3 linked regions of the Arabidopsis thaliana genome follow. The protein of the gene in region 1 interacts with the protein of each later gene in a pairwise test. Each region holds a gene or a part of one and is shown in the gene's direction. Other genes may lie near its edges.

Region 1 (4,046 bases):
ATAAATATTATTTAAATCTTCTGTAAAATACTAATTAAATGTGTGAATACAAAAAGCTAAATTAAATCAGAGATCGGTTTCCAATTATCTCTACTTTACGTTTGAAGATTACAATTTTTTTATTACGTTTTTATTATTTATAACGTTGTAAATTTATGGTGATATCTGTTATCTACTAACTTAATTAGATTGATTAATTGATATTCTTACGGATTTGGTTTTCGTTAACCATAAGGAATTTGCTATATCAATAGAAAACAGTAATCGTTTTGTGTAACATAAATATTAAAGTGTCAAATTAAGGATGTGTTCTTTTTGTTGTCATCGCAGGACTCTCTCTAGGCGTTTTAAACATGACAATAGTGATACCACAAATGGTTGTATCATTTGGAGTTGGTCCTATTGATGCGTTATTTGGAGGTGGGAATTTACCAGGATTTGTGGTTGGAGCTATTGCAGCGGCAATCAGCAGTGTTGTGGCATTTTCCGTTTTACCATAATTTTTTTTGCGTTTTATTTGGTATATATGGACATGTTTAATATTATTGTAGCACTAGATAAGGACCCATACATGTATACTTGAAATTAATTTAAATTTCTCCTGTTAAATTACTGAAATTAATTTAAAATTTATGGCAGTTCTTACAAATAACACAAAAAATAAGTTAATTCCAAATTTAGCAAATCATCTCCAAAGTTCCAAAGTAACACAAATTAAATACATAAAACTTTTTTTTTTAACTTTATGGATGAATTAGGAAAATGTCGCCTAAAGATAAAAAAACAATTCTCTTGAAAAAAAAATATTCTTATATACCACGGTTTAAAACATTTTGTTCCAAATTGACTCTTAATTCCCACAAATTTTCTTTCTCTGATGGTAGATTATATGAGTCACAAAATTATCATTATTCGGTAGTAACTATTATTTTCTTTGTTTCTTATTAATTAATTTTTTAGAAAAAAAAGTTTGTTTCATGAAGCAATTTTTTAGGTTTTCTATACACTATTTATTAGTTATTATTGATGAATTTTAAACTTCAAGACAAATAATTAAATATCAGTAGTTTAAAATTATATAAAAATGTAAATCACAAAAGTTAATACATTTATAATCAATTTTAACATGTTTTTTTTAATCTATGTATTTTTTTCTAAAAAATGAATAATTAAAACATGACTAAATTTTGGCGACTTTCTATATCGTTTTGGCTAGTTTAATTATTTTATATTTTAATTATTTACAAAGATTGATATTACTGTCTTCTTTTCTTTTCTATTTTTGAACTATATATCACTCGTAAAAACTTCATCTTACACAAAAAAAGAAAAAAAGGTGATACATACGAATCTAAAGACCTGACTGCTTGAGAATACCTCTCTTCCTGGCATCAAAGGGATTGAAAAGAATGAAAATTGCGCTGACCAACGTATAAGCAGGATTGTTAAATTTACTGCACTAGGTTATTAAAAGGCCATACCTCTTCTTCAGATACTTTGTTTAACCACTCGTCTTGCTGATTCCATTTGCGTACAATAACCTTGTTTAGTCAACAAAAGATAGTGAATATATATTCACTTACGGTTTATACAGTTCCATGGTGCTACTAACAGGATATCACAGAGACCAGAGACCAGAACATTACTAAATGACATTTGAGGAATTTGATAAAAGTTCAAATTCGATAAAAGCTTTAAACTTTGAAGAAGTAGTTAACAAACCTGAGTATCGATTCCAACAAGCGTATGCTGAGGAACATCGAGAAAGAGAAGCGTAGCTCCATGCTTTACAAGCTCTAGTGCCTTCTTAGAATCCATAGCTTCCTTCTTCAAAATAGAGCGGAACAACGACTATATTCCAGAAGCCCCATTAAACAGGCCCATTAAAATATTGGGCCTATAAAGCGTGGCCCAAAACATGTGACAACGCGCGATTCACGCGGTTTACTTTATCAACCGACATAATCACATAAACGTTTATTTATAGAGAAACCTATCTTCCTGCCTCTTCAGATTCGTTTTATTTTTCAATCGTTTCAATTTCTAAAATTCTCAACGCGATCACCCCAATCCAAATTTAGGGTTTCTTTTGTCTTTCTGCGATCGATCTCTGGTAACTCATAACTTGTTGTTGAATCGCGAAGATGGCATCAAACGGATCCTTCTCTGCTCAGAGAAACGCAAACGCTGGAACAACGATGAAGAGACGAAACGACAATCGCGGTTACGGTGGCGGAATCGGATGTTATCAAGAGGAGAGGAACCGTTACGCGCCGCCGCAAAAACGTTTCAGATCGCAACTGCAACAGCAATTCCGATCTGGTCATAATCCTCTGTATCATTATGGTAGTAATACTAATAATAACGTGTCTAGGGTTTCTTCTCAGTCATATAACAATTACGGTGTTGATGTGATTGCTTCTAATTCAAGTTTTGCTTTACCTAACAATGATTCTAACACCAACAATTATCAGAAACCCTTTGTTGTTTATGGAAACCCTAATCCCCAAATTGTTCCTCTTCCATTACCTTATCGTAAGCTTGATCCTTTAGATTCGTTGCCTCAATGGGTTCCAAATTCAACTCCGAATTATCCTGTTAGGTCATCGAATTTTGTACCAAACACACCTGATTTTACGAATGTTCAAAATCCGATGAATCATTCGAACATGGTTTCAGTTGTGTCTCAATCGATGCATCAACCAATTGTTTTAAGCAAAGAATTGACTGATTTGCTTAGTCTTCTTAACAATGAGAAAGAGAAGAAAACTTCAGAAGCAAGTAATAATGATTCATTGCCTGTTGGATTAAGCTTTGACAATCCATCATCGCTTAATGTTCGACATGAATCTGTGATTAAGTCTCTGTATTCTGATATGCCGAGGCAATGTACTTCGTGTGGGGTGAGATTCAAATGTCAAGAAGAGCATAGTAAACATATGGATTGGCACGTAAGGAAGAACAGGTCGGTGAAAACCACTACAAGACTTGGTCAGCAACCGAAGAAATCGAGGGGATGGTTAGCGAGTGCATCTTTATGGCTTTGTGCACCAACGGGAGGAGGGACCGTAGAAGTAGCATCTTTTGGAGGAGGAGAAATGCAGAAGAAGAATGAAAAGGATCAAGTACAAAAACAACACATGGTGCCTGCGGATGAAGATCAGAAGAATTGCGCGTTATGCGTAGAGCCGTTTGAAGAGTTCTTTAGCCATGAAGCTGATGACTGGATGTACAAAGATGCAGTCTACTTAACCAAGAATGGTCGTATAGTTCATGTTAAGTGTATGCCTGAACCCCGACCTGCTAAGGATTTGAGAGAGCCGTCGAGGGTAATGTCTGTTACAGTTCCATCGGTTGCGAAAGCTATACTCTGCTGATTGAGATTTTTTATATCTCTGTTTTAGTCATTCGTTTTTTTAAAAGTAAATGTACATTACATTAATCAAGATGTAACACAAATACAGTTCTATCAATTGAATCTCCTATTTTACTCTTATCACCTCTTTACTTTTAATCCGGAGTTATAGAGTCTGTTTTATTGTAATCCAGAATTATAGTATAGATTGTTCCGGATTAACCAGTGAAATCTCACTTGATTCCCGGTTTACATAAACCAGACTCTCTATACCAATAAACCGAAACAAGGAAACCAATTCCTTTGTGTAACTCTCTATATTTATTCTCATTCTAATGAGATAACACATTCACAATCTATAAGTATAATGATGATGTCTGATCTTCCGGTGGCTTTGGTAGAAGAGATACTCTCTAGGGTTCCATTAACATCTCTAAGCGCGGTGCGATCTACTTGTAAAACGTGGAACGCTGTAGGATTAACATCTCTGTAGACTTATATTGGTATATGGTTTATGCGTAAGATTTCTCTTTTAAACCTTTTAAAAGAAGAATCTTTTATTTTGTTAGGTAACCCCTCGTCGGCCCTTTAAGTTTCTTACACCACGTGATCGGTTATCCTATGTATATACTACGTTCGTGAATGACCTATTGGGTATCCAATGCAAATCACAAGGTTAGACTAATACTGT
Region 2 (6,315 bases), on another chromosome or scaffold:
TTTGGTTCGGGTTTCGCCCTAGTACTAACTAGAGAAGAAAGAGATTTTCGAAGAAAAAATATGGAACATGTGAAAAGTTTAGAAGGTATGACACATATTGCTTAAACAAAATCATAAGAGGATGGAAAGAGACACTGTAAGAAAAAATGAAACAAATAAAACGAGTGCTTGCAAAAAGATAGGGAGAGTGATAGCTCTTTGTAAAAAAATTGTGAAGACAGAAATTCATATACATATTGAAAAGAATGTGAGAAAATATGAGTTGTTAAAGTAAAGTATAGATAAGCTTATGAATATACTTCTATATAATATCTTATTTTTAGACGAGCTATACTAACTAATGCAGCGAAGATAAACAAAAAAGAATAGTAAATTTACGGATTTCAAAATGAGAAAGTCGTCGAAGTTATTTTCCATAAAACAATTTATTTCATACATAAAAAGACGTCGTGATCCTAAATATCTAAAGCTAAAGAGAGAGTCATGAGCCAAAAAAATGTTCTTTTGATAAATGTTGTAAACCTAAAAGTTGTATTAAAGTTATTTTTAGTTTTGTATTTAAATTGTAACTATTGTCATGGTAATTTTAAAATTCAAAGAGTTTATAATATTAACAACAAGTAGACATATAAAAACATATCTTTTAAAAAATTTCTATAATAATTTTATTCACACAAAAAAATATTAAAAAGTTTTACAAATAGACCCATGCGTAGCGTGGATTCATAACCTAGGATTTAGAACGACTAATCGGGAGTTGCCACATAAATAATTAACATATTTAGTATCTAATTAATTAACATTTTTGAAAACAACCAATCGGGAGCTGCCACATCAATAATTAACATATTTAGCATCTAATTAATTAACATTTTTGAAAATAGCAATTACTTTATATTTTAAAATGTAAAAACAAAGGAACTAACAAATATTAAATTTAAACTTATAAAATAGGAAGCTATATAATTATAATTATGTAATAATAAACTCAAACCCTTATAGGATTTTATACAACTAATCCAACATTTTTTTAATATAACTTAAAGAAACGTAACAAGGACGTGGTTTGATGGTGGTGTTTTTAACTGTATCAATTTGAATCAAGTTCTCGAAGATATGCTCGTGGCAACTACCATGAGAATTCCACTTTTTCGGTCATGTGACAACCACACAAATTTCCGAGTTTCACGAGTTCAAAATCGGTGTTTCAACTCGTAACTTAGCCTTGAACGCATAAAAGCGAACTGAATGAATTAGAGTTGTAATGTTGTATTTATTTTTGTAGATTGTTTTAATCCGCTTCTTGCTAATCTCTGTATTTCTGTCAAAAATCAAAAATAATATAAAATCTAATTGTCTACCAAAAAAAAAATCATTCATAGTCCATGAGTAGAATCAAAACAAGATAGATTCAAACTTTATCAAGATAGATAAATAAGCTAAGAAATGAAATAGTTCCTCAAAACTAAATTTAGTGTCACCAAGAGGCAAGATCAAACTTTTCAAATAAGGGAAAGAAGAGAATTGCAACGTGATTAATTGATGAGGTCATAGTAAAAGTCAAAAATCTGTGTGACTCAAAACGGGTAAAAACAATAATTGGGATGTAGTTGATAACTCTAAAAAAAAAGGGACAAAAATGAGATTTGCATAAAGTAGAGATACAAAATTGAGAAGAAAAAAAAATCCTCTTCACTAAAAAAAAAAAAACTTCCGTTATCGATCTCTATCTCTCTCTTCCCCCACAAGGGTGGCGATTCGAGGAGTTTCCATGGTGGAACAGAAACCCTAGAGCCTTTATGCTGCCACTAATTATCACTCTTCACTATTGAATTGGGGATGGACTCAGAGAAAATCCTCAATCCAAGACTTGTTTCGATTAATAGCACCAGCCGCAAAGGTATGTCCGTTGAGTTGCCGCAGAAACCGCCGCCACCGCCGTCGTTGTTAGACCGGTTTAAAGCTTTGCTTAATCAGCGTGAAGATGAGTTCGGTGGTGGTGAAGAGGTTTTGCCTCCGAGTATGGATGAGATTGTTCAGCTTTATGAGGTTGTTTTGGGTGAGCTTACTTTCAATTCTAAGCCTATTATCACTGATCTCACTATTATCGCTGGTGAACAACGGGAACATGGTGAAGGAATCGCTAATGCTATTTGCACTCGAATCCTTGAGGTTTGCTTTCTTCTTATTTGTTTCCACTTTCTAGCCTTATTGTATAGTATGTAAGTGTAGAAGTGGGAAAAAAATTAGGTTTTTGATTGTCAGAGATTAGTGTTTGGTTTGTGGTTTAGTGAAATGGCTGCTTCTGAGTTACCTGTGGGTGTATATATGCAGGCTCCTGTTGAGCAAAAGTTGCCATCTCTGTATCTTTTAGACAGCATTGTTAAGAACATTGGGCGGGATTATGGTCGCTATTTCTCATCCCGTCTACCCGAGGTGAGCAGTCTACAAGAAGATGTTTACTTAAATGATTTGAATAGGGCTGAAGCATACCCATGAGCTGTTTTGATCCTATTCTGCTTTAGGTCTTCTGCCTTGCATATAGGCAAGCACATCCGAGTTTACATCCGTCAATGCGTCACCTGTTTGGGACTTGGTCGAGTGTTTTTCCACCACCTGTACTACGCAAGATTGATATGCAATTGCAACTTTCATCTGCAGCAAACCAATCTTCCGTAGGGGCTTCTGAGCCTAGTCAACCAACGAGAGGTATACATGTTAATCCAAAATATCTTCGCAGGCTGGAGCCCTCAGCCGCCGAAAATGTAAGCCTTTCTCTTTGTCATTATGAACAGAGATGACATTCTTTTTTTAGGTGCATCTGCAACCTTGAAGCTATGGTGTGTTAATTTTATATAAGTGTACTAAGTAAAACGGGTATTAGATTAGTTTGGCCTCATAGTGGTCTTATCCATTGTATTTCTTTAAAGTTTTGTTAGTTAGACGAGATAGATGTTTACATTCTTCAAGTAATCAATCTTGACTGGAAGGGAGTTGTTGTTATGGCCTCTCTCAGTTATACATGATGAGTAGGTCACTGGGACTCTGGTACATTAGAAATGATCTTGTTAGCACATGTAGAGGGTTTTTTTTTGGTTATAGTACAGTAGATCACTGTTTATGCATCATGTGTCGTTTGGAACTGTTTTTATATGTTTTTTTTCAAAGAGTGACTATACCTGAGATGCATATTTCCTTAATTGCTCTTGCTTGACATGCAGAATTTGAGAGGAATTAATTCCAGTGCAAGAGTTTATGGCCAAAATTCACTCGGTGGGTATAATGATTTCGAAGATCAGTTAGAGAGCCCATCTTCACTGTCTAGTACACCAGATGGTTTTACCAGGAGGTCTAATGATGGAGCTAATCCTTCTAATCAAGCTTTTAACTATGGAATGGGTCGAGCTACTAGCAGAGATGATGAACATATGGAATGGCGAAGAAAGGAAAACTTAGGCCAAGGAAATGATCACGAAAGACCTAGAGCGTTGATAGATGCATATGGAGTTGACACCAGCAAACACGTAACGATCAATAAACCAATTCGCGATATGAATGGCATGCACAGTAAGATGGTTACACCATGGCAGAACACTGAGGAAGAAGAGTTTGATTGGGAAGATATGAGCCCTACCCTAGATCGTAGCAGAGCTGGTGAATTTTTGCGATCATCTGTACCAGCATTAGGAAGTGTAAGGGCAAGACCCAGAGTAGGAAACACAAGTGATTTTCATTTAGATTCTGACATTAAGAATGGTGTAAGTCATCAGCTACGAGAAAATTGGAGTTTGTCACAAAATTATCCACATACATCCAACCGTGTTGATACAAGAGCAGGAAAAGACTTGAAAGTATTGGCTTCATCTGTAGGGTTAGTTTCATCAAACAGTGAATTCGGGGCTCCTCCATTTGATAGCATTCAAGATGTTAACTCACGTTTTGGCCGGGCTCTTCCTGATGGGACATGGCCCCATTTGAGTGCTAGAGGACCCAACTCTCTCCCTGTACCTTCTGCTCATTTGCATCATTTGGCAAATCCCGGTAATGCGATGTCAAATCGCTTGCAAGGTAAGCCTTTATATAGGCCCGAAAACCAGGTCTCTCAGAGTCATCTTAATGATATGACTCAACAGAATCAGATGCTAGTTAATTATTTGCCATCCTCATCTGCTATGGCTCCAAGGCCAATGCAATCGTTGTTAACCCACGTAAGTCATGGGTACCCTCCACATGGGTCAACCATTAGACCATCTTTATCAATCCAAGGTGGGGAAGCCATGCATCCTCTTTCTTCAGGAGTTTTATCTCAGATAGGAGCCTCTAATCAACCACCAGGTGGCGCATTCTCTGGTCTGATTGGCTCTCTCATGGCTCAAGGTTTGATCTCATTGAACAATCAGCCTGCTGGTCAGGTAATTATTCAAATCATGTCCTTGAGAGTCGGTTTGTTCTTAGTTATTGCTTTATCTTGAATTGTTGGTTTATATATTCAGGGACCATTGGGGTTGGAGTTTGATGCAGACATGCTCAAGATACGTAATGAGTCTGCAATCAGTGCTTTATATGGGGATCTCCCGAGGCAATGCACAACCTGTGGTCTACGCTTCAAGTGCCAAGAAGAGCACAGTAAGCACATGGATTGGCATGTAACCAAGAACAGGATGTCCAAGAACCATAAGCAGAACCCTTCTCGGAAATGGTTTGTAAGTGCTAGCATGTGGCTCAGTGGTGCAGAAGCACTTGGAGCTGAAGCAGTACCAGGGTTCTTGCCCACGGAGCCAACAACAGAAAAGAAGGATGACGAAGATATGGCAGTTCCTGCAGATGAAGACCAAACTTCATGTGCATTATGTGGTGAGCCATTTGAAGACTTTTATAGTGATGAAACCGAGGAATGGATGTACAAAGGTGCGGTATACATGAATGCTCCTGAAGAATCAACAACAGATATGGACAAGTCTCAGTTAGGTCCTATAGTGCATGCAAAGTGCAGGCCAGAGTCCAATGGGGTAAGCCATTCCATGCATTTTCATTAGCTTCATTTGTGTCTAGTTGAATCCATTTTCATTTTCGCTGCTAGACATTTATCCAGTGACGACCTCTTGATTTCCCGATCATGGCTTTTTCAGGGTGATATGGAAGAGGGTAGTCAGAGGAAAAAGATGCGGAGTTAGATCCCTTAGACCGAATTTTAGGTCTTTTTCTTGACTACATTTAAGTTACATTCTTATTTCTTCATCATCTATATGCACTTAGTCACAGAATACCACCAATGAAGAGAAATGATGGAGAGAGTCTTCTTTCTCCTAAAACTGTACCATTGAAAAAAAGAGGTTTACACCCACATATATTATCATTCTTTATGCCTCTAAATTCCTGTTGTGCCTTAGGACATGGATATCGTGTAACTGTTCTGCATTCTCTGCTACACCTAACCTGGGGTGCTTGTAGTAGTAAAATCAGATGTCGCAACAGTAGTTTCCCCATGTAAATGGAATACAATGTCTCTGTTTCGGATTGTCTTTTTCTTTTTCATCTTTAGATATTGCAGGGAAAGCCCGAGAAGACTGATATTCGAATGTGAACAGATTTCTTATGATGAATGGATCTCATAGATGCTGTTGCTAAGAGAACCAGTTTCAGGTTTCTTCTTTAGAGCTTTCCCTGTCTGAGTTTTACCTTTCTATGTTAGGCTGTTAGCTAAAAATGTTAGTTAACATAACTCTCTTTAAGCGTATTTGTTCTCTTGACTTTGTCTATAATGAAACAAGTTTTACTTTTCTTCTATCTGAACCTTTTGCTTTTGAAATTTCCACTACTTGTATCTTCATACCTACATGATACAGAGCCGGATTTATGTCGAAGTAGATTGAACGATAGTTAAAGCTTTCGAACTTACTTGGCTTTTTGCTCGATCAAACTAGAGTTTTTTCATGACTGTTACATTTGAAATATGGAATTATAAAGATTTAAAGGTTATGATTTAGTTCTGGTAGTACCTTATAGGACTGCAGAGCAAACTCAGTTCAAATCTGGCTTTGTCTCAACCGTTAGTCTCTAAACAAGAGTATGTGATGATCAATAGATGTAATGGCTGGAGTAAAATTCATGTTTGTTATATACATTGTGAAAATAGTCTATTATAGTATGAATATAAGAAAACAGCTTGCAATATGCAATATGAACTAAGCTAGAACAAAAGATCAGGTTAAGAACACACATCATTGCCCTTTTATTTTGCCTTTGTTAGAAAATTGGACCGTTGGTTGAATGGGATAAGAGAGAGCTAACAGAAACTAGTAGTGTACTAATAAC
Region 3 (7,889 bases), on another chromosome or scaffold:
TATTTTTTGCAACAAAACACGTAAGCTACAATATTAGCATGCATGTCAAGAACCAAAATAGTATTTTAAGGTAGGGCAACAATAGTATTGCCAACATTTCTCTGGATGGGTGAAATAAGCATAATTACTAATTTAGAACAAAGATATTTAATATACGATAAAAAAAACTACTACCTATGTTCCTAAATCCTAACAGAACGATGTTTTAGTTTTTTCGCACATGAATAAGTAATCTTACTTTTTTGCTAAGTTTTTGTAAATTTAATAATATTAATTATGTTTTTCTCTTTCTATATTGATAACATATGAAAGTAATAATGATGTTGAAACAAAACATTAATCAATTATGAAACAAAAAATTCCAAAATATCAATCTATTAGACTAAGAGGCAATACTTAATAGGGGACAAAAATCTGGTCTTAAAGTGTGCTACAAAATTTTCATGCACACGAATAAAAAAAATTGTATTACCAAATTAAAATGTAAACCCATGCATACTTTACGTACATACAGTATATTTTTTTTGCTAAGAATGTAAATATTTCATTAAAAATGAAAACAATTTAGGTTTACAATCCAAAGATTATACTCCTAAAGAAATGGTCCCATGACAAAAAAAGCAAAAAACATGGAAGCATAGATCTTAGAAACATTTTCAGTCCATCCACTCAAACATAAGCACAAATGCTAATGGAGTAAGACGAAGTGATGACGATTTTGAAGTTCTTCCCGGCTCTGATGCTTGAGACGAAGGGCGAATGCAAATTGAAGAGCCGAATTACCAAGATACAAGACACTAGAAGCCTTTCACAGGAGGTCCGAGACTGTGCCGTCAACGGCCCGTCAAAGGATTCCATGAGCTCTCACAGAACGAAACCCCACAAACCAAAGAATGTGAACAATGTGAGCTCACCCTACCAAGTTCCTTCCCGAAGTCGCATAGTACAGAGCTAGATTTTTGAGAGCTAGATTTTTCAACTCAACGCCACACTGAACACCAATAGTCTTACTAACTCCTCTAGTGCCTAGTGAAAAAGCAACCATAGCAAAACGCATTGCAACGCAAGAACTACGACTCTAGGCAACATCAATGGCAAGACACAACAAAACCAGGGCTTATTAGCAAATACAGTATACTATGTATTCGCCCTATATAACAAATATATTAGTTAGGATTCAAACTATAATAAATTACCTATACTATGTATAATAACTATAACATTCAAATGAAATTTCTTCATCTACGTCATTTAAATTAATTTAGATATGATGTTCATTTCCATAATTATCTATTAACGTTGAGTATAAAGTATTAGGCTCATATCTCTAAAGTTATCATTGTATCGACTTTAGAGCTAGAAACTTAAATTGATTTGATTTTGGAAATTGATGAATTAATTAATATCTTATATTACATGTCTATTTCATTGAAATATATCTTCTTATGATTAATTTCTTATTTTACATGTATCTTTATAAGTGTTAAAAGTGAATTCACGAATAAAAGCTATATAATGCTTACTAAAGTGTATATATACAAGCATTATTAGTTTAGTACATGTGGTACGAAAAATGGAGAGTAATTCATGATGTTTCCAAAGAACCTAGGCCAAAATAGATTTCAATCCCGCCAAAGATCTATCAGACTTCAAATTCGAATACACCAACTCTCTTGAACCTAACTTAACGGCTTAACGTTTTATGTACTTAGGAAATTAGTGAAGGAAAAAAAAAAAGAGAGAAATATTAGAAATCGAAAAGATATTGTATGTACCGTAATCGGTCCAACTTACTTTTAATGGGCCAAAAATCTAGGCCCGTAATATTTTTAATATAAGTTTAGTAGAATCCACGTGGACAGTAGAACCGCGGAAAATATTCGTTTCCTGAAGACGGACCGGTTGCTTTGAGTTTCCCCGTTCGACAATAGGGTATCACCGACCACCGTGTTTCGGGCAGACTCGTCGGAGGAGTGTTAAAATTGTTGAATCTCAGATTAGGGTTTACTTCTATGGTAAACTTCTGAAGGTCTGTCTGTTTTCCTGATCTGAGGTCCTTCTAGGGATTTTTTTTTATGGCGTTGAAGCAGCAGAAGCTTTAGCTAGACTTGTCGGAAGATTGTGACACTTATTGAATCTCAGATTAGGGTCTACTTATATTACCATTGAGTGGAATATTTGAAAGACTGTTCTTCCGAAGGTGAAATTCATGGCTGATAAGTACATCGTCGAGGAAGCAGAGGCTTTGGCCAAGAGAGCTTTGGTACAATTCTTTCCCCAGCTATATACTTGTCTGACTTCTCGTACTCTTTCATAAAGTTTAGATTTTTACTTGTTGGGTTTCGTAAAATTGTGTCCTTTCCTCAGCATTCACCAATTGCACAGGCGACGCCGATCTACGAGCAGCTTTTGTCACTTTATCCCACTTCTGTAAGTTTCCCATGACTTTGCTTCCACGTATTTTAAGAGTTTCCTGATGTTTTTGGTTAATTGTGAGCTCCTTTGTACTCTGTAGGCGAGATTTTGGAAGCAATATGTGGAGGCACAGATGGCTGTAAACAATGATGATGCTACCAAACAGATATTTAGTCGTTGTTTGTTGACCTGCCTTCAAGTTCCTCTTTGGTAATGCCATGTTACCCTTTATTAGTCGTTGATAAGAGTCAATTTAACATCTTTTCGTCTCATTGTTGGGTTTCTTGCTCAGCTGCAATGCAAGTCTTGCCATCTCCTTGGATATAATTCTAACATCTTATTCTCTCAGGCAATGTTACATTCGGTTCATCAGAAAGGTCTACGACAAGAAGGGAGCAGAGGGTCAAGAGGAGACCACAAAGGCTTTTGAGTTTATGCTTAACTATATTGGTATTGCTTCTCTTCCGCAGTTTTGGCTCTATTTTGTTTGTTTTTCATTTCAATCATGTCTCATACATAGAGGGAATTTTTTCCGTTTTGTGAGTAATGAATACAGTTATGTTTAGTAAACAATATGATTTGATCAATTTTATGCTTAATATAGTTGCTAATGATAACTATTCATCAGCAATAGCAAGCACATAGTTACGCTTCGTGTCTATGTAGACCTCTAGTTTCCCTTTATCATGCCAACACATAACACAACTTGGGCCTTACAGATGGTTGTTTATTTCGATTTATGAATCTCCAGGGACAGACATCGCATCAGGGCCTATATGGACTGAGTACATTGCCTTTCTAAAATCTCTTCCGGTTCGTTATATCACTCTAACTTTGTCCTTGATACTAATAATTTGTTATTGCAGAGAAACTAATAGATTCCCATGCAGGCTCTTAACCTCAACGAAGATTTGCATCGGAAGACTGCTCTTCGAAAAGTGTATCATAGAGCTATATTAACTCCGACCCACCACGTTGAACAACTTTGGAAAGATTATGAAAACTTCGAAAATACTGTTAACCGTCAATTGGTAAACTTCTAAGAAATTAAAATTATGTGGCTTCTTATTTTCATGAAAAGAAGCAGGTACGAACTTCATTCTCTTGGCTTTGTTGATGGATAATCTAATCTAATCATGTGAGCAGGCAAAAGGACTTGTAAATGAGTATCAACCAAAATTTAACAGTGCCAGGGCTGTATATAGGGAGCGCAAGAAGTACATTGAAGAAATTGATTGGAACATGCTTGCTGTCCCACCAACAGGAACTTCCAAGGTAAAGAATTTATCATCCATTGCTTCTTTTTGGAACTGCTGAGTGCTGAATGTACAATTATTTTCTTATCTTTTTGAGTTCGATAAGATTGGATATATTGACTCTTAAACTGCCTAAAAGACATTATGAGCATAATTCACGTCATGAGATCATGTTATTAAGATAGGAAATACATATTGAGTATCATCTGCTTACTTTGCTACTTTACACCGTCTTATGGTTTTTTGCAGGAAGAAACCCAGTGGGTGGCCTGGAAAAAGTTCTTGTCCTTTGAAAAGTAAATCCCCAATTATCATATACAGTTTTTAATTTTAATATACATTCCATTCAGTGATGATGTGTGTTTTACGTATCTCCTTAGCCATTGTTTCTCTACCATAGCTAGATTTTAATATATCGCAACAGTTAATTGGTCCCTTGGTAGATTTTTTTGATTTTTTCGGTTTACGCCTAATGGTAAGACTTTTATATCTTGTTCCGTCTCTGTGTTTTGCCGATTAAGATTTATGATATTAACTAGAGAGCTGGAATAAATTACTATCCAGTTATGTCTCCAACAAGTGATGATGAGGTCTTATGCATAGAATTGTTTAACGAGTCCTTCTAAATATAACAAACTTCTGTATCTAATACAATTGTAAATTTCAGAGGAAACCCTCAAAGGATTGACACGGCCTCGTCAACTAAGCGGATTATATATGCCTATGAACAGGTATGCGAAGAGTCAGTGAGATGCTCTTGCTGAAATTTTGGAGGACTAATCTCCGAAATGTGTTCATTTCTGAATTGACTGACTATTACTCTGGTTTTACAGTGTCTGATGTGTTTATATCACTATCCCGATGTATGGTATGACTATGCTGAGTGGCACGTAAAATCTGGTTCCACGGATGCTGCAATCAAAGTATTTCAGCGAGCTCTTAAAGCCATTCCTGGTAAAAATCTAATCTATCCTTTTTTCTTTATGTCTATGAACTAGTTGCTTTATGAAGGATCAACTATTACTCTTTGCTTACCTGCTGGCTTACTGTTTTAATCTTATCTTCTATCTACTCTTAAGAAGTCTATTTTCTCTCTGCGACTCTTTTATATTTTTTACTAAGTGTCTACATTTCCCACTCTCGTATGTCAGATTCAGAGATGTTGAAATATGCTTTTGCTGAGATGGAGGAATCTCGTGGAGCAATTCAGGTTTTTATTTCTTGCTGCTGGCTTCTTGTAATTTAGCTTTATTAGTTGTCCGCATACTCGTTGCTTATAGTTGTATGATTTTGCAGTCAGCGAAGAAATTATATGAAAACATTTTGGGGGCTAGCACAAACTCTTTGGCACATATACAAGTAAGTACGCTCAAGTTTCAAAATTTAGGACTTGCGAAGATTGGCATAAACAGCATATCTTTCACTTTGAAATTGTTTCTTTTCTCTGAAAACATTCTCATATGATATATACTTATATATATATATATATATTCTTTCGCAGTACCTTCGTTTTCTCCGGAGGGCTGAGGGTGTTGAAGCTGCTCGCAAGTACTTTTTAGATGCTAGAAAATCTCCTAGCTGCACATATCATGTGTATATTGCTTTTGCTACCATGGCCTTTTGTATTGACAAGGAACCAAAGGTGTATTTTCTTACCCACTATGTGGTGGTCTATATGCTATTTAGAACTGCTTTTGTCTTGTGAAGGAGGTAGTGGTCGTTCAGTCAAGTTCAGAACCCACTCGTCTTATTAGTCTCTTAGTTGTTTAAGTTAACCAGGACCCATGAGACTTTTGTGATAATAAAGTCAAAATGATTTGAATATTGGGGTGTTTTGGCTATTGATGCACTTAAACTCTTCATTTGTTTGCAAAATACATGTACGTTACTTTTATGCCTCGTACATTCCTCTTTGTGCCTTCATTTGTTCGATTCTTTAACAAAGAATTAACATGTTCTTGCAAGACATATATACTAATGTAAACCATCTGACTTCAATTTCTATTCAGTTTCACAATAAAAATCCTTATGTTTGTATTTTTATGCAGGTTGCACATAATATCTTTGAAGAGGGGTTGAAACTCTATATGAGTGAACCTGTTTACATCCTTAAGTAAGTGTCACTGTAGCTTTACTTAGCGTTCCATTTTCTTAAGATACTTGGAAGCTCTTCTTTATTGAAGAAATATTGAGACTTTAAGACCTTCTCAGATAAAATATCCTCAAACTTGTTTCTCTCCCAAACCTTCCTAAGACAGAATTTTAACCATCTGGTTTTGCTTTGCAATCTAGGTATGCAGATTTCTTGACTAGATTGAATGATGATAGAAATATCAGAGCTCTATTTGAGCGGGCATTAAGCACGTTACCAGTTGAAGACTCTGCTGAGGTACGCTGATAGTGATATATTGTTTCTCAAAGCTGTTAAAGTATGCAGATTTTGTTCTTAAGCATGAAAAGAGACAACAAGGAAAATTACTAACCTGCTAATGAAAATAACCAAACCGAGCACCTAATTTGATTATAGCATTTCTGAATGCTTAAATATGATAATGGTTTAGCAATTGGAGGTGTAATCTTGATGCACATCTGAGCCTTATGAACAGTGGTGGGGATAGTAGACATTTAAAACTGAACTGAAAGAGTCCAATATTATTGTGGTTCACATGTAATACTGTTTAAAATGCTAGAACAATAAAGAAGACGACTGGTGTCAATGGGTTACGCCGTTATGCTAATTGATTTCTAGGATTAACTTTTTTCTTGCTCCATGTTTTGTAGGTCTGGAAAAGATTCATTCAGTTTGAGCAAACATATGGAGATCTTGCTAGTATTCTAAAGGTATTTTAACTCATTGAATGTTGTCAACGTATACGAGGAAAGCTACTATTATTAGCTTCCTGTGTTTTGTTAGCATTTTTTGTAGTTGTTTTTCGGTTGACTCCATTATGATGATAAGTTTGTTGAAGGGTCCAAACATTTATATCTATTCCATCTTACTGGCTTTTAGTTGCATGGAAGATCTAAAAATGCTGACACGTTCAACTTATTGCTAGAATAGACTATGTCAGACTCGCACCTCATAAAAGAGACATTTGATCAACGATGAAATTTACTGAAATCAGATCCACGATACATCCAGTATCAAGTGTGGCTGTTTGATGGAGTAGTCTGCTTATCTTCTTAGTTTTTTGCTCATAAATTTTCTTTACTATGACAACCTTGTTGTAGGTTGAGCAGAGAATGAAAGAAGCACTTTCTGGAAAAGGGGAAGAGGGGTCTTCTCCTCCAGAGAGTTCACTTCAAGATGTTGTTTCTCGGTACAGTTACATGGATCTTTGGCCATGCACTTCTAACGACCTTGATCATTTAGCCAGACAAGAGGTATTTTCCATGCAACATATCGCAATTAGCTCAAATAGCTACTAATGATACATCTAGTAAGTACTAATTCTAACCGATCAATGTGTTCACTATAGTTGCTTGTGAAGAATCTGAATAAGAAAGCAGGGAAAACAAATCTACCTCATGTTCCTGCGGCTATAGGTCTGTTCTTTTTAATTTTCTGGTGTGATGGATTATGTTAAACTTTGGTGATGACTGAAGTAAATAAACCGCCTTCTGGGCTGACAGGTAGTGTAGCTTCTTCGTCAAAAGTTGTTTATCCAGATACATCTCAGATGGTTGTTCAAGACCCGACAAAGAAATCAGGTATCTGATTTGCACTTTGCCGCAATATTTGGCTGCACGATGAATGGAATTGTTAACTTATTCTGAACCACTCATGATTTGACTGTAGAGTTTGCTAGTTCTGCAAACCCAGTGGCAGCTTCTGCTTCGAACACCTTCCCAAGTACTGTGACTGCAACTGCAACTCATGGATCAGCCAGCACATTTGACGAAATACCAAAGACTACTCCACCTGCATTGGTAGCATTTTTAGCTAACTTGCCTATTGTGGACGGTAAATCTCTTAAAAACCAACTCCAAGTTGTATCTGAACTGAGCACCTGAATAAGTGTCCACTAACCAACTAGTTTATCATTATCTTCTCAATTCGCAGGTCCAACACCCAATGTGGATGTTGTTCTGTCGATATGTTTGCAGAGCGACTTTCCAACAGGTCAAACTGTAAAGCAGAGTTTTGCTGCTAAAGGCAATCCTCCAAGTCAAAACGATCCCTCGGGTCCAACCCGCGGTGTGTCTCAAAGATTACCA

The links.
Region 2: the proteins of AT5G43620 (region 1) and PCFS4 interact in a two-hybrid assay, tested with the Arabidopsis thaliana proteins (one study listed by BioGRID).
Region 3: the proteins of AT5G43620 (region 1) and CSTF77 interact in a two-hybrid assay, tested with the Arabidopsis thaliana proteins (one study listed by BioGRID).

What each region holds. Positions count from the first base shown.
Region 1 is NC_003076.8:17,520,509-17,524,554, forward strand, and holds AT5G43620 (Pre-mRNA cleavage complex II), read left to right. Parts: upstream 1-1,977; 5' UTR 1,978-2,144; coding exon 2,145-3,377; 3' UTR 3,378-3,495; downstream 3,496-4,046. Other genes in the region: SUC6 (sucrose-proton symporter 6), read left to right, coding at 331-500.
Region 2 is NC_003075.7:2,470,244-2,476,558, forward strand, and holds PCFS4 (PCF11P-similar protein 4), read left to right. Parts: upstream 1-1,622; 5' UTR 1,623-1,839; coding exon 1,840-2,172; intron 2,173-2,334; coding exon 2,335-2,436; intron 2,437-2,525; coding exon 2,526-2,765; intron 2,766-3,221; coding exon 3,222-4,412; intron 4,413-4,493; coding exon 4,494-5,009; intron 5,010-5,129; coding exon 5,130-5,174; 3' UTR 5,175-5,782; downstream 5,783-6,315.
Region 3 is NC_003070.9:6,110,592-6,118,480, reverse strand, and holds the start of CSTF77 (Tetratricopeptide repeat (TPR)-like superfamily protein), read left to right. Parts: upstream 1-1,863; 5' UTR 1,864-2,209; coding exon 2,210-2,263; intron 2,264-2,367; coding exon 2,368-2,430; intron 2,431-2,515; coding exon 2,516-2,625; intron 2,626-2,764; coding exon 2,765-2,865; intron 2,866-3,166; coding exon 3,167-3,228; intron 3,229-3,305; coding exon 3,306-3,446; intron 3,447-3,561; coding exon 3,562-3,690; intron 3,691-3,920; coding exon 3,921-3,967; intron 3,968-4,338; coding exon 4,339-4,402; intron 4,403-4,504; coding exon 4,505-4,625; intron 4,626-4,822; coding exon 4,823-4,881; intron 4,882-4,967; coding exon 4,968-5,030; intron 5,031-5,172; coding exon 5,173-5,313; intron 5,314-5,719; coding exon 5,720-5,784; intron 5,785-5,963; coding exon 5,964-6,060; intron 6,061-6,452; coding exon 6,453-6,512; intron 6,513-6,902; coding exon 6,903-7,055; intron 7,056-7,150; coding exon 7,151-7,217; intron 7,218-7,304; coding exon 7,305-7,382; intron 7,383-7,470; and 3 more. UniProt on the Arabidopsis thaliana protein: One of the multiple factors required for polyadenylation and 3'-end cleavage of pre-mRNAs. Required for the targeted 3' processing of antisense transcripts that triggers transcriptional silencing of the corresponding sense gene.